2 linked regions of the Ovis aries genome follow. The protein of the gene in region 1 interacts with the protein of each later gene in a biochemical or structural test. Links are inferred from orthologs where the notes say so. Each region holds a gene or a part of one and is shown on either strand. Other genes may lie near its edges. The genes, in order: INSR and GRB10.

The links.
Region 2: the proteins of INSR (region 1) and GRB10 form a complex in vitro, tested with the Homo sapiens proteins (5 studies listed by BioGRID and IntAct). The link is inferred for Ovis aries from reciprocal best matches to the Homo sapiens genes INSR and GRB10.

The regions. Positions count from the first base shown.
Region 1 is NC_056058.1:13,931,541-13,939,242, reverse strand, and holds the start of INSR (insulin receptor), read left to right. Parts: upstream 1-2,976; 5' UTR 2,977-3,461; coding exon 3,462-3,561; intron 3,562-7,702. UniProt on the Homo sapiens protein: Receptor tyrosine kinase which mediates the pleiotropic actions of insulin.
Region 2 is NC_056057.1:5,910,189-5,917,890, forward strand, and holds the start of GRB10 (growth factor receptor-bound protein 10), read left to right. Parts: upstream 1-2,259; 5' UTR 2,260-2,688; exon of another isoform or gene 2,689-2,931; intron 2,932-7,702.

The sequences.
Region 1 (7,702 bases):
ACTTTGATCATTTTGTTAAGCCAGATTTTTCTTTCACAAAGCTACCATTTTTCTTTTTTTGGACAAACATGCTGCGAAGAGATACTTGCAGACCATGGAAATACCCCATTACTTTTCAAGCTTCCAACCATCACTTTTAACGTTCATTGATGGCTCTTGCCAGAATCAATTATTTTGGAAATTAGCAAATGGTGATTTTCTACTTTCATTCCAATGCTTTTAAGAAGAGGCAGAGGTTGACTTTCATTTTTTATATCCTGGTATTTTTTTTGAGGGGGTGCGGGGGTAGCTTACAGAAGAAATAATGAGCTTTTTTTCTTCTGGAAGTGGAGGTGTCTTCATTTTCTCCCAGTAAGCCACAACTACAACGATTCTTCTGACTTTATACCCAGCTTTATGTGGAGGTCTTGCATCCTGAAGGATTTCCAGAGGGCAGTATGTCCCTTGGAATTTTAGCAAATGCCACCTGCTTGAAATTGTTGGTGGCTTTTCAGTCAGTTGACTTCAGTCGCTCAGTTGTGTCTGACTCTTTGCAACCCCATGGACTGTAGCATGCCAGGCTCCTCTGTCCATGGGATTTTCCAGGCAAGAATACTGGAGTGGGTAGCCATTCCCTTCTGCAGGGGATCTTCCAGACCCAGGGTCCAACCTGGGTCTCCTGCATTGAAGGCAGATTCTTTATTGTCTGAGCCACCAGGGAAGCCCAACCCTTTGGTATAAACCCTTTAATGCATCCTTGTTGCTTTTAGGATAAAGGGTGTGTTGAAGACAACCCATACATGGTATATCCCTTTTAGTCTCGCCTACCAGCCCAGCCTTCCCCTTTTCTTTCTTTGCTTTCTTTTCTCCAGCTACAGTGCCTGGCTCAGTTGTGAGAACACTGGCCTGTCCTCTGGGCCTTTGCACACGCCGTTCCCTCCACCTGGAACATTTTCTTGATGCTTCCCTGGGCTGGCTCTCTCTCCTCAGATTTCAGTTCAAAATCACCTCTTTGGAGAATCCTTCTGCCTCTCCCCACCTCACCTTATAAAACATCTGATGTGCGACTTAATGGCTTTCTCCTTACACTGGGTTGTGAGGTCTACAAGGAAATGAATGGTGTTTATTTGGCTCCCTGCGAATCCCCACTGCTTACTGCATGTTGATTTTTCCGCTCAACAAATATTTATTAAGCAATGGATATGTCAGTCACTGGGTGTAAAATACTGAACATGATGGACAAGATTTCTGCCTTCCTGGGGAGGGGTGAATACACACAATAAGTCAGAATTTCAGGTAGAGACACCAGCGTGCTGTCTGGACAGGAACAAATGGAGGAGGGGACAGGGAGTGTTTGCAAAGTTGGTCAGGGAAGGCTCACTGGAACAGACAAGTGGAGCCAGACACCAGAAGGACAGGGGAGGCAGGAATAGACTTGAGTTAGAAGAACAGTGGGCCCATCTACTGGCAAACTAATATTTGTTTAATAGATGAAAGGAAGAATGAATGCCCTCAGCCAACAGTTGTTCTGGGTGCTTTGTCATGCTTTATTTCCCCTGGGAGACTGTGTGTGTGCATGCGTGTGCGTGCTCCGTTGTGTGTGTGTGTGTGTGTGTGTGTGTGTGTGTGTGTATGCACACGAGCTCAGTCATGTCGAACTCTTTGCGACTCCATGGACTGTAGCCTGCCTCTACCCATGGGATTTTCCAGGCAAGAATACTGGAGTGGGCTACCATTTCCTCCTCCAGGGGATCTTCCTGACCCAGGAATCTAACCTGCGTCTCCTGCATTGGTGGGCAAATTCTTTACCACTGAGCAACCTGGGAAGCCCTTGCTGCTGCTGCTGCTACTGCTGCTAAGTCGCTTCAGTCGTGTCTGACTCTGTGCGACCCCATAGTCGGCAGCCCACCAGGCTCCCCTGTCCCTGGGACTCTCCAGGCAAGAACACTGGAGTGGGTTGCCATTTCCTTCTCCAATCCATGAAGGTGAAAAGTGAAAGTGAAGTCGCTCAGTCCTGTCCGAGTCTTAGGGACCCCATGGACTGCAGCCTACCAGGCTCCTCCCTCCATGGGGTTTTCCAGGCAAGAGTACTGGAGTGGGGTGCCATCGCCTTCTCCGGGAAGCCCTTACAACTCACCAAATCTGACCTGAAGGTGTCCTTACGTGCATCATACAGATGAGGCCCATCGAGAGAGAGAAAAATTACTCATTCAAGCAGATTCTCACTCCGTTCTGGCTTCTCTGTGCTTAAGGCCCCTCTTCAGCAGGCGGGGTGGCCACTGTCACGTGACTGACGTTCAAACACACACGGACTCTGGGTCTGCGCATTGAAACTTGGGTGTGTCCACCTGTGTTCTACCGAAGATCTCCAGCGCCTGGTTTGCACTTTTTTTTTTTTTTGCTAGTTTCTACACTTTCTCCTAAGGGTCATTTCTCCACCTTGAACCACGCATCGTGCGGAGGGGCCAGGCTACCCAATACTTGAGCGCACGCGGCACGCTCGTGCACGTGGCTGTCCCCAGGGGCCTGGCTCTGGGCGGGGGCGCACTCTGGGGTAGGACATCCGGGGCGCTCGAGGGCCATACTCACTGGCCAGACTGTGACGAGGGGAAGGTGAACGCAACATTTAAGGGAGTACCAAAAAGCCGAGTAACCACGATAAACAATATTTTAATGCAATATTTAAAAAAATAAAAATGAATTTTCTAAAGTCCCACGAAGAACAAACTAGCAAAATGTTTTAAACACGCGATCCGACTTGCTGAGTTGGTCAATCTGGGGCGCTCCCGGGCTCTGAGACAGGAGTCCTGGGGCTGTACGGGGCGCTGGGGCTGGGCAGGCATCTAGGGCGCCCCCTCGGCTACGGCGCGACGGGGGCCTCCAGCGCGGGGCCCAGGATAGGGAGACCGGCGGGCGGGCGGGGCGGCGCCTCCCCCCTGCCCGTCCTCCTTCCACCCCTCTCGGGCCTCTGCCGGGCGCCGAGTCCCTTCCGAGCCCAGATCCGCGCCGCCTTTTCCCGCGGCCCGAACGGGGCCCAGCTGACGGGCCGCGTTGTTTACGGGCCGAGCAGCCCTGGCTCCCGCCGCCTGCCCGCCACCCGCCAGCCCAGGTGCCCGCCCGCCTGTCCGCACGTCCGTTTGTCCGCGCGTCCGAAGATCGGAGCTCCGGAGCGCTCGGGGCCAAGAGCCTAGAGTCAGGGGGGCGCAGCGCGGGGCTCCGGGCCCTGAGATCGTCGGGACGGGGGCGCGGGCCGCGGGGGCCCGGAGTCGGGACCGTCTCCACCCGGCCGCGCTGCCGGATTCGTAGCAGCGGAGGCCGCGCGCCCCTCCCGGGGCCGTATCTAGAGTCCTCCCGGGCGCAGGCTGCGGGACCTTGGGCTGCCCGCGTGGAAGAGAAGGACGCGCGACCCCCAGCGCCTCTGGGGCGGCCGCCTCGGAGCATGCACCCCGCCAGCCAGCGCCCCGCGCTCTGATCCTTCAGCCATGGGCGCCGGGGGCGGGAGCGGGGCGGCAGCCGTGCTGCTGCTGGTGGTCGTCGCCGCGCTGCTGGTGGGCGCCGCGGGCCACCTGTACCCTGGAGAAGGTGAGTCTGGGGGGTCCCGGAGCGGGCGGGAAGCCGCGCGGGTGGGGAGGGGACCCTTTGCCAAAATGGAACCACCCCCCGTTGTGGACGGAGTGCCGTCCTCCGTCGGAGGGCTGGTGGCTCGGACGGTTTCTCCGGCCTCGCGGGGGGCGGGAAGCCGCTGACCTTGGCCTTTGCCCGCCTGGGCTAGCGGTTCCACGACCCGCATGCGGCCCGGGGCTGGAGGAACCTTGCCCTAGTGCCCGCCCCTCCGCGGGCGCCTCTCCCGAGAGCGCTCCTCGAACCCCCGTGTCTGGGCCTCTCTGAGCCCACCACCTGGCTCCAGAGACGGGACACACGTCCTCTCTGGGTCGCCTCCGAGAAGTAGGGTCATCGGACACTCTCACACAGCCAAATGCCCCGGGCACAGACGGTTTGGAGTGAGAATCGAGGGTGACTGACTGAAGGCAGGGTGGTCCCTTGAGATCCCAGCAGCTTGGTGACGCTCCCCCAGGGGCCGAGGAAGTGTAGAACCCGCCCCTTTCTTTCTGGTATCTAGACCCACGGCTACCCCTGACTTCAGGTCCATGTTTATACTCTGGAATTCTGTTTCCAGATGTCGGAGGCAAGCTCTAGCCCTTGGCAACAGCGCAGCTGTAGTAGCAGTAGTGTTGGCTTTTATGATTATTATAGCTGGTGTCACCAGATGCCTCGGGCTGGCCGGTCTTATCTGTCTGGATCTCTGCAGCAGCCCGTGGAGGCTGATACTGTTGTTGGTCCATTTCATAGAGGAGTAAACTGAGGCTCAGGAAGGACACAGAATTCACTTGCCCCAGAATCAGAGCTAGAGAGAAGACAAACCTCTCTGGCTCTGCCCAGGGCTCTGCCCAGCTGCCCACGCCCCAGGAACCCCTGGTAACCTCCCTCCTCTACCTTTTTACCTGTCAGCTGGGCAGGTCTCTAATCTGTGGTCAGCCCAGCACCTTGCCCCCTCTCCCTTCCAATTCTCCCTCATGAGTGTCCCTGGGCTAGCAGCTCCCTGGTATGGGGAGAGGGGTAAGTCCCAGCATTTTCCTTGGGCTTGACAGCACGTCTTTCTGGCTGCAGGTCAAGGATGGAAAATCCTTGAAGAGAATATAACTGGGGTTTCCCACCATGATGGCGGAGGCCCTGCTTTCAAAATATGTGTTGGGTTACTTCTTCAGATTTCTCCATAAAAGGAAATCAGTCCCGATGAGGAAGGGGTCAGGCAGGGAAGGAACAGAAGTTCCTGAGTTGCCTGTCGGTGAGTGGGGATGCACGAGAAAGCACGTGGGGGCTCTGGAGTTGACAAACCGGGTTTGTGGAGCACCTTTGCCAATTAGGCAACGTCTCCAAGCACCCAAGTGCCTGGTATACAGTGAGTGCTCCTCCAAGGAAGGGTAGCAGTGGATTTAGGCTCTTGTTAGAAAAAAAACACACACACACACACACACAAAAACCCAGACCAGCTGTTAGATCTGTGTCCGGCTTTGTGTGTCCATGCCCGTGTGTGTCTGTGTGTGGGTGCACATCTGTATATGCATGCAGTTCCTTGCTCCTCTGTTCCTGGTAGCTTTAGGAATTAATGGTGGATTTGTGCCTGGGCTGGCTTTCCTGGTGGCTCAGATGGTAAAGAATCTGCCTGTAGGAGCCTGGGTTTGATCCCTGGATCGGGAAGATCCCCTGGAGAGGGGAATGGCTATCCACTCCAGTATTCTTGCCCAGAGAATCTCATGGACAGAGGAGCCTGGTGGGCTACATACAGTCCATGGGGTCCCAAAGAGTCCGATACGACTGATCGACTTTCACTTTCAGGGGTCAGTGGATGGATTTGCCACTTCTTGCATGTTTATAGCTTCCACGAGGGAGAGGCTTATGTTTCTCTGTTCACTGCCACAGTTCCAGAGTCTAGAGCAGCCCCTGACACCTAGGAGATGCTTGATACATTTATTTATTTTGACCGTGCTGGGTCTTCATTGCTGTGCTGGGCTTTTCTCTAGGTGTGAGGATCGAGGCTACTCTGTAGTTGCTGTGCATGGGATGGGCTTCTCATTCCAGCGGCTTCTCTTGTTGTGGAGACCGGGCTCCAGGGCACGCGGCTTCAGTAGTTGTGGCTCGTGTGCTCAATAGTTGTGGCTCCCTGGCCCCAGAGTGCAGGCTCAGCAGCTGTGGCACTCGGGCTTAGCTGCTCTGCAGCACATGTGGTCTTCCCATACCAGAGGTCGAACCCCTGTCCTCAGCATTGGCAGGAGGATTTGTCGCCCTTGGACCACCAGGGAAGTCCTAAATATTTGTTCTAGATCCAACTCCTGTCCTTCCTGTTCTTCCCAGGAGTCCAAGTCATGGCTCCTTTATTCTTCAGATAAAACCTAGCTGACACAAATACAAGCAAATTCTACACACTCGGCATTGATAATCTCGATTAATCCTCACCACAGCCCTCCGAGGTAAGGTTTATCATCCATTTCGAAGGTGAGGAACTTGGATGAGGTGGCAGTGCTGAGATGAGAACTCCGGTTTGTTAATAAAAGGTTTCTTAACAGAAGGTTCTTCTTGGGACTCTGAGCCTCCCCGCCCTAACCCCTGTGGTATAAAGGTTAACAAAATACTCTCGAATAAATGACATGTGATGCCCTTCGGAGGTTTGGGGAGGGGCAAGGAACTTTCCGGATCGTTGGTTAATCTCCAGCAGCAAGCAGTGTGGCATTCTGTCTGGGGTGGGGGTGGGGTCGATGGAGATCAGTGGGATTTTGAAGGACTGAGGACTCTCTCCTCGATGTCACATGGGATGGGCCAGCCCATTTCATCCCCCCTGTGGAGTCTCTGTGGCTTGGCTGAACTGGGCAGTGGTTTTCCCTCCCATGTCTCCTTGGGTTGACCCACTCTGGCCCGAGATGACCCAGGAGCACTGCAAAGTCAGAGAATGAAGGCAAAGTGGGATTAATTATAGTGGAAACTGAATCTTGGCAGGGGCAGTGAATTGATGAGTTGAGGTGCTAGATGTTGCTTTTGGATCCCCTTACATCTCGAGGTGGAATCTAGTGTTTCTCTTGTGGTTCTCTGGTGCACTCTGGGACCCTCAGATCAGAACTTCTGCTCTCTGGGTCAGTTCTCTGAGGTTCTTCCTAGTCTTTGCTTCCCTCCTGGTGACCTGCCTCTCGACCCTGCCCTGCTCATTCATAGAGGTCACTGGGGGCGAGCCTCACCCCATGGGCCCCCACCTCACTCCACTTCCTCATTGACATCCTTTATTTTTTGGCTAGAATAGACCTTCTCAATTTCTGTGCTCTTGATCTATGAGGTTGGATAGTTCTTGGTTGCAGGGGGCTGTCTTGTGTATCTTAAGATGTTGCTCACTGTCTGCGGTCTCTGACCAGTAGCAACGCCCCTCTCCAAGTCATGACCACTAAAAAGTGTCTGCAGACACCACCAACTGTCCTCTGATTGAGAACCACTGCTTTTGGTGCTAGTGGTAAAGAACCTACCTGCCAATGCAGGGGACACATGAGGTGTGGGTTCAATCCCTGGATCAGGAAGCTCCCCTGGAGGAAGGCATGGCAACCTGCTCCAGTATGCTTGCCTGGGAAATCTCATGGACAGAAGACCCTGCCAAGCTGCAGTCGATGGGGTCATAAAGAGTCAGACACGACTGAAGTGACTTAGTATGCAGGACACTTATCCACTTAGGTCCCCTCCTCTCTCCCCTCTGTTCAGGGATCTCCATCCACCCAGAAGCCTTTTTCTTTTCAGCCTATAAACACTCAATACTCCCCAGGACCCCGGTACCCACCACCCACCTTTTGCCTTCCTCTGTCAAGCCTCCCCCAACCGCTGATGGGCACTCATCACCCTTGCTCTCTCACCTTTCACCCACTGCTCTGCCCACAGCATCTGGCTTGTGTCTCCATTGCTTTGCCCATGGTGCTAACCAAAGTCATTCCTCACCTACCAATGGCAGCCTCACCCCAGCTGACTTCTCTGGGTTTTGCTTCCCCTCTCCTGGTGAGTTTTCACCTGTCCCTGGCTCCTCCCATTCTCTCTCTTCTTTTCCTCTGCTCCTTTTCCGGGCTTATTATCTTGGCCTTCATTGACGGCCATTCCCTACTCTGACTCTCTCTCTTACGCTCACTTGTTAATTTAT
Region 2 (7,702 bases), on another chromosome or scaffold:
CAGGAATCTTTGTGTCCAGTTAAGTTCTTCCAGGAACTAAGTTCCTTTGCATTACTCTCTAGATGTTTCATCTTAGGGTTTTCTGAACCTGGACCAATGGGGAGATATTTTCAGGATGCTTATTTCAGTTTCAAGAAAGGATGAATTCTCCTGGATAAATCAGGCCAAAGGTGGGAAACACAAAAGTTATAAAAAGTGCCCTAAAGGGTTGTGGCAGAATCCTTATTCTGCACTTAGGAGCTACTTCAGTTCAGTTCAGTTTAGTTGCTCAGGCGTGTCCGACTCTTTGCCACCCCATAGACTGAAGCACACCAGGCTTCCTTGTCCATCACCAACTCCCAGAGCTTACTCAAACTCATGTCCATTGAGTCAGTGATGCCATCCAACCATCTTATCCTCTGTCCTCCCCTTCTTCTCCTGCCTTCAATCTTTCCCAGCATCAGGGTCTTTTCAAATGAGTCAGTTCTTTGTATCAGGTGGCCCAAGTATTGGAGTTTCAGCTTCAGCACTAGTCCTTCCATTGAATATTCAGGACTGATTTCCTTTAGGATGGACTGGTTGGATCTCCCTGCAGTCGAAGGGACTCTCAAGAATTCTCCAACACCACAGTTCAAGGCATCAATTCTCCAGCGCTCAACTTTCTTTATAGTTCAAATCTCACATCCATACATGACTACTGGAAAAAACCAAGCTTTGACTAGACGGACCTTTGTTGGCAAAGTAATGTCTCTGACCTTCGGCAAATTATCTAACCTCTGGGCGACTGGGTTTCCTCGCCTGTGCAGTGGGCATCTCCTAGTAACAAGCTCAGAGGGTGAAAGCAGAGGATTAATGAAATGTTTGGCACAAAACGCACGCTCAATGAAGGTAAGTTATTACTGCAGCTGTTTTTATAATATCAAATCCCAGAAAAAGACATAATTATTGTTATTATCCTATTTGTATTATAATTTTGATTCGATAGAAATATTAATAATCATGTTAATTACAACGGTGTCGATGAACGTAGGGGTTCCTTCTTACCTTTCGCTTTATGTTACAAGTTAACATCTCATTTAACCCTCAGGACATTACTCGTAGGCGGGCTTATTAGCCTATTGCAAAGCTAAGGACGTTGAGGCCCGTTGGTATACAGAAAATAAACAGGGCCTCCCACTCCACGCGCGCTCCGGGGCGGGTACGCAGATAGGGAAACTGTGGCTACGAGGGGTCAAGGCTCCAGACTCCGCCAGCGGCGGGCGGACGCTGAAGCCCAGGTTCCCCGGTCCCACGCGGAACCGCCGCCCAAGGCACAGCCAGTGCAGCAGCCGCTCCTCAGGCTTCTCCGTCCAGTCTTCCCGCTGCGCCCGGGACGGGGAATGGGGCCGCACAGTTTCAACTTGAGTTTCAAAGAATTCGCTTGCAAATTGCCTTCCAGGAGAGGTCTGATGTGTGTTTCGAGGGCGCTCCAGGCTGGGTGGTCGCGGTTCTACGTCCGCGAGTCCCAAGAGCGGGACCAGGGGTCCGGGCGCCCACGCCCAGCTGCCGGCTTCCAGTCCCCCGTGCCAGCCCCCGGCAGCAGCGACCTGCGGGAGCGCCCGGCCCCGCGCCCGGCGCCGCACCCCGCCGGCTCCCCGAGCTCCCTCCGCGACCCGCCCTGCGCCCAGGCCGCGGCCCTGCCCGCGCTGGCGGCCCCGAGCGGTCCGGGCTGCGGTGGCAGCAGCGGCGGCGGCGGGAGGAGGAGCAGGAAAAGCGACCGGGGGAGGAGGCGGAGGCGGCGGAGGCGGAGGCGGCGGCGGCGGCGGCGGCGGCGGGCGGGGCCGGGCGGGTTTAAAGCCCATCGAGGGGGTGGGGAGGCCGGGAGGCGGCAGGAAGGAGCGCGAGCGGCGCGCCGCGGCGGGCGGGCGCTCGGAAGCCGCGGAGCCAAAGTTTGCGCGCGGTCCCCGGGCGGCGGCACGCGGGGGTCGGGACCGCCCTGCGCGCCGCCCTTGCCCCGCGGGACCCGCGCCGCCCCGGCCGCGCCGAGGGGCGCGGGCGGCCAGGCGGAGGCGGCAGCGAACGGCGCCGTGGCAGGTAGGGAGTTGGGCGGCGAGCGAGGCGCCAAGTTACTTTGTGGCCGGCGGGCGGGCGGGCTGCAGTCCCGGCGTCATTGTCTGCGCGCGGGCCGCCCGGGCCGGGGACGCCGGGCGCCGCGGGGGCGCGGCGGGCGGAAGGGCGTCGCCTCGGGCCGGGGGCTGCGGCGCGCGAGGGCGGGGACCGGGCGCGGCGCTCGGCGTCGGCGACCCCGCGGAGCCGGGGAGCCCGGGCGGCGCCCTCTGGAGCCCTCCTGTCCGACGCCGGCGGCTCACTGGCCGGGCCGGGGTGGGGGCTGCGCCGCCGGGCGGTCGGGGCCAAGGCCGCGCTCCCGGATCGCCTGGAGGGTGGGCGCCGCGCGCCCCTGCAGCCCCCGGTGCGCCCGTGCTCGCGCGGTGGGGCCGGACCCTCAGGAGCTGGAGCGAGCCAGATCCTGGGATCTTTCCCTTTGGTTCTGCTGGCGACCCGTTTCCCCTCCCCCGGGGCCTAACCCCAAGTCGAGGGTTCGCGGGTTAGCGGCCCGCCAGCCGGGGAAATGTGATAAGAGCTGTGCGGTTCTCCGAAGGCGATTCTGATGCAACTCTCGGCCTCCGGATCGCCTCTCCCCGCGCCTGCCTGAGGACGGCCCTGGAGCATGTGCGTTATGGAAATGAGACATTCTCTACTTTTTATTGTGTTTTTCTTGTCTTGGGGTTGGAAGACACGCCAAGTTTCTGTCATTTGCCTCGGTGAGACGGTGGGTCACGTAGGGAAGCCACAGGTGACTTTGCCCGGGCCCGGATCTTTCTGATGCATTCGTTGGAGAGAAAGCTTTCTTGCAAATGTTGTCCCCAGCTTCATTCAAGAGATGCGGAGAAAAGACCCAAACAAGTAGCGCTAGTGAGTAAACACGCGTTGTTGCACAACTTGCTCTTTGCTGCTGTTTACAAGGCCTAACCCAGAACACTTTGTTTCTGGAAATGCTGATTCAGCGGTTCGGAGCCCCCGAGTTTCCAAAGTGGTGCTTTCTCTAACGTTTCGCTCAGTTTTACTAAGAACACATGTTAACACAGCAACAGGCGTTGACTAGGGTTTACAGCACCAAGTCGGACGTTTTTCATGAGTTGACTCGCTGATTCCTTCGTTCTTTCCAGGAGGAAAAATAGATAGGTTCTAGGTTTCTGTGGCAAAAGAAGTTCTGACTTCTGGCGATGGTGGTGTCTTTTAGGTTAAGTATTTTGTTAGGAAAAAAGCTCTGAAACCGAAGTGTTTCCAGGAATGATTCTAGATGACTAGGTTTTCCGGTTAAGAATCAGAATTCTAGGATTATTGCATATAATATTTGAGTTTTACTGGAAACATTTGAAAGAGATGGCCACACAGGCCAACCCCCAGGTCTCGGGGAGGGAATTTGAGGACAGTCACACACCCAGCAACTGAGAAGTAACTGAGAAGTGCAGCAAGGGATACTTGTGTGGCATTTCACTGTCTATGGCACACGTTCAAAGCCTGATTACTTTTAATCCTCTGCAGCCTCCTGCTCCCCATTTTACAGGTTTGGAAATTGAGGCTTGGGCTTTCAGGTGGCGCTAGTGGTAAAGAACCCACCAAGTAATGCAGGAGATGGATATAAGAGACTCAGGTTTGGCCCCTGATTCAGGAAGATCCCTTGGAGTAGGAAATGGCAGCCCAGTCCTGTATTCTTGCCTAGAGAATCCCATGGACCAAGGAGGTGGGCTAGTCCGTGGGGTGGCAAAGAATCAGACACGCACAAACCCAGGCTCAGGAGGTTAACAAATGCATGTCCGATCACATGGCTGGCAAATGCCAAAGCTGTCACCAGATCCTAAGCTTTGGGTTCTTTTTTTTGTTTGTTTTTTCCCAGTTGTCTGTGGTTCATGCTTCTGTGCATCTGAAAGAGAAATGGCCTAGGAGCGTCCCTGGGCTGGTCAGACACCCGGAGAACCGGCAGACTCTGTTCCCATTCCCGTGGCTCCTGGATACCTGCCCTATCACTAGGCTATTATCAGTGTTTTCTTTTCTCCGCTCACTTTTTGTGCTTAGATACGAATTTGTTTTGGAAGGAAATTTTGATACCACAGAGTCATGAGTCTGATATGGTGGTTATGTTTACTGTAATAAGAACTGTGTTTTAATAAAAGCTGTGCCCCGCTAAAATCATCTAGAGCGTATTGCCTGTGGTGTGTGTAGCTTTTGGACTGGGCAAAATGCCTTTCATTGTGGACTAGGAACCTGGAGCTGGGCAGATTCATGCCAGGGCTTGTAGCGTGGTAGCTGCCAGGATCGGAACCTGGACAGCCCTGGCCCAGTCACAGTGACCATCTCTGTGGCCACTGAGCCTCAAACAGGAGAGGGGAACAAAGCCAGACTCTTGAACTTTTGATTTGGATGATGAGGCTGTTCTAAGTCTTGACAATGTATAGAAACCAAGCTCCTGCATGAACAAAGACATCCGCTGTGCCTTTACCTTCCTCTTACAGCTTTAGAAATTCTAGGTTGGTATAGCTGATAAAAGTTTCAAGATGACATAGTTTAAGGAACTTATTTCCTTGGAATTCGGTCCAACTCTTAACCGCTGGTGAAAAGAGCCACGCGTGGTGGTGGGCTGGTCCGCCTGTCGGAACTCTGACACTGACTGTAGCGAGTTCTGTCCTGCTTCGTGGGAGGAAGTGTGTGTGTTCACGGCTTGGGGTGTGATGCCTTTGTCAGTTTCTCATGCTGTCAAACCAACGTGGAATCATGTGGATCTATAAAGAGAAAACATTTGTTTTGCTTTTCATGTATGTAGTCAGTCATATGTTCATAATTTCACTAAAACTTTTTCTGCTTGTTGAGACTTTATTTCACCTGTCTTTATCTTTTGCTTAACTGGGCGTTTGGGAGATTAAGGAAGATGTTAGAACAGACAAGTGACTTGGTGGGCAAATGGGTGCTTTGGGGACCTGGGAACCGTCAACAAGGTCTTTGTACCAACGGGTGTAAAACTGATCGCACCCGTTCAGGCGCTGGCTGGCTTTTACATTGTGTTACTACTTCATGGCACGTTTCTGGGGAGCTGTCTGTTCTCCCACCTTCTCTGTTTGGTGTCCGTGCTCCTGATGATCGTGTCTTGTTGACTGTAAGGGGATGAGAACAGGTAATGCTTAAAATCACCAGTCTGATGGCTTTTCTGTAATAACATAAGGAAAAATGGGACGACTGGTTTTGAGACCAAAAAAAGCCATCAAAAATCACCCCAGAGTTAGAAATGAGTGCTCATGACTTTCTGCTTTGGGGATAAAACAACTCCGAGGAGATACCCCTTTTTGCTCCTCTAGTGGGAGAGGTGGGCTTGAGAATAAACGGAGCCTGGGCTGCTTGAGTGCTCTTTTGTTCATCTGGGAAAGGGGTGGATGTTGAGGTAGAAATAACTTAAGTCATAGTCTTGCTTTAGAATCCCTGCCCAGATGCATAGGATGAAGTTAGTGGGTCATGACTGGGTGCGACTGGGAAAACTTGAATATTGCTCCTGTTTTTCCACCAGTGACTTGACATCTGGCTTGGGGCGTGATTGCCTTGATTGTTCAGACCCCTGCTTTGAGGGGTTTCTCATTTGGGCTCCCTCTGCCAGGTTGGACTGTGTGTTTTAGCATCTCCTTTGCCACCATGTTGCTCTTTTCTGCTTTTGCCCAAGTGGGTGGATGGTACTGATGACTCCACTGGGCACTCTGCCTCAGCAGGACTCCTGGTCTTCTTTAAGCAGCTGGGTGAGCTCATTGAGCTAGCTTTTACTAGCTCATTGGTAAAATGAGAGTCACAGGGGTGCCGACCTGCAGGGAAGGTGGGGTGCCTCTGGGGTCGTGTGCACCTTGGTACGTGGTGAGAGCTCAGAGATGCTGCGTCTGTGACCCTAAGCCTGGCTTAGAATAGCTTGCATGCTGGGTAATGCTTCTTTGTTAATTTACGAGGTCTCTCTCTATTAATTAGAAAGAAGACTACTTTGTTTGTATTTTTGTCTCTGGATCCATTAGCTGTACAAAACCTTGTGTCACTGGCTGGATTCTGCCTTCAGCACCAGTCGCTGTGAGTGAGAAGCCTCTCCTGGCCTCAGAGCAGCCCATGGGTAGGATGCTGTGAGCAGAGGTAGACGGTGGGATGGAGACCTCGCCTGGCCACAGCCCACTTGAACCAGACCATGGGGAGGGACAGACGTCAAAAATTGGTTCTTTGTGCCCAGGAACAAGACATTTGCAGTGGCTGAGATACACAGGCTCAGACACGCTGTGATGCTGGACGCCTGCATGGAGACTGCTGGGCGCAGGTACACGGGGCCTGGTGGCCTCTGTCTTCAGGACCCCAGGGTGCTCGGTGTCTGGAGTCTGCAGAGACACCTATCCCAGCTGGGACTGAAATGCACATGAGCTGCACATCCTGATGGGCTGCCCGTGCCCCCAAGTGCCTCCTGCACCGTGTCTGGGGCGGTGCTGTTGGCAACCTCCATCCCCCAGAAGTCTGGCTGGATCTTAGAGCCAGGTCAGCGGGCCCAGGTACCAACAGCCGCAGTCTCGCCGGGTAGCACAGGCTCAGAAAGCACGTGGCCTGGAAAGAGTTTTCTGTGTTTTTGCCCTCTTCACCGTCACTGCAACTGAAACTGCATTGGGTGGCTGGGATCTTCAGCTGTCTGCGCACTGCCCCTGGCACTGCCCGGCGGCCTGCCTGTCTGGCCCTGGCTGCGAGCTTACTGTTGTCTCACTCTGCAAGAGAGAACCTAGAAGGTACCTGGAGACCACCTGTCACGTGGCTGCCAACAGCAAGGGACCCCCAGCCACCTGGATCAAATCTGAGATGCTTGTTGGAGGGGAGAGACCCTGCGAGTACTCACTTCTCCCACCTGCGGGGCTTTTAGTTTATTTTTTTGGGAAACTTTCATCCCTGGGAGTGTTTTCTTCCCGTCTTTTATGAGTTGTGAACACACTCTAATATGAAGACTTTAATTATATCCCGTATCAGTAATAATCTTAGGATTTTCTGCTCCAAGAAACTCATCTTGACCAAAAGGCTGCTACAAACTAAGGAGCATTTCCATTCAGGGGTTTGTACGGTAGCATCACACACACAGGCTTCCTGGGGGGCTCAGCGGTAAAGAACCTGTCTGCCGATGCAGGAGGCACAGGAGACAGGTTCCATCCCTGTGTCGGGAAGATCCCTTGGAGGAGGAAATGGTAACCCTCTCCAGTATTCTTGCCTGGAGAATCCCATGGACGGAGGAGCCTGGTGGGCTACAGTCCATGGAGTCGCAAAGAGGTGAGCATGACTGAAGCAGCTGAGCACATCGTGTGCATAGGAGGTCTCGTCAGGCCTGAGGGTGATGCCTGCATGACATCTGGGACCCTACCTGGGGAATCTTCCTGTTGGCTGGGAGGTTGAGCTGGCTGATGTCCTGTATGGACCAGCGCAGATTGTGGGTGTGTCACCCCAAAGCCTCCAGGTTTCTTGTTCCAAAATGCTGTTGGGTTCCTCTGAAGAACTGTGTAGGTTTCATGGGACCCTGCCAGCATGTTTCTATAGATGAAGGGATGCGTGAGGCCTCTCAGCATCTCCCAGTGGAGGAGGGGTAAGTCAGGGTGGCTTCTCACTCCCTGGTTTGGTCATTACCTAACTGCAGACCTGG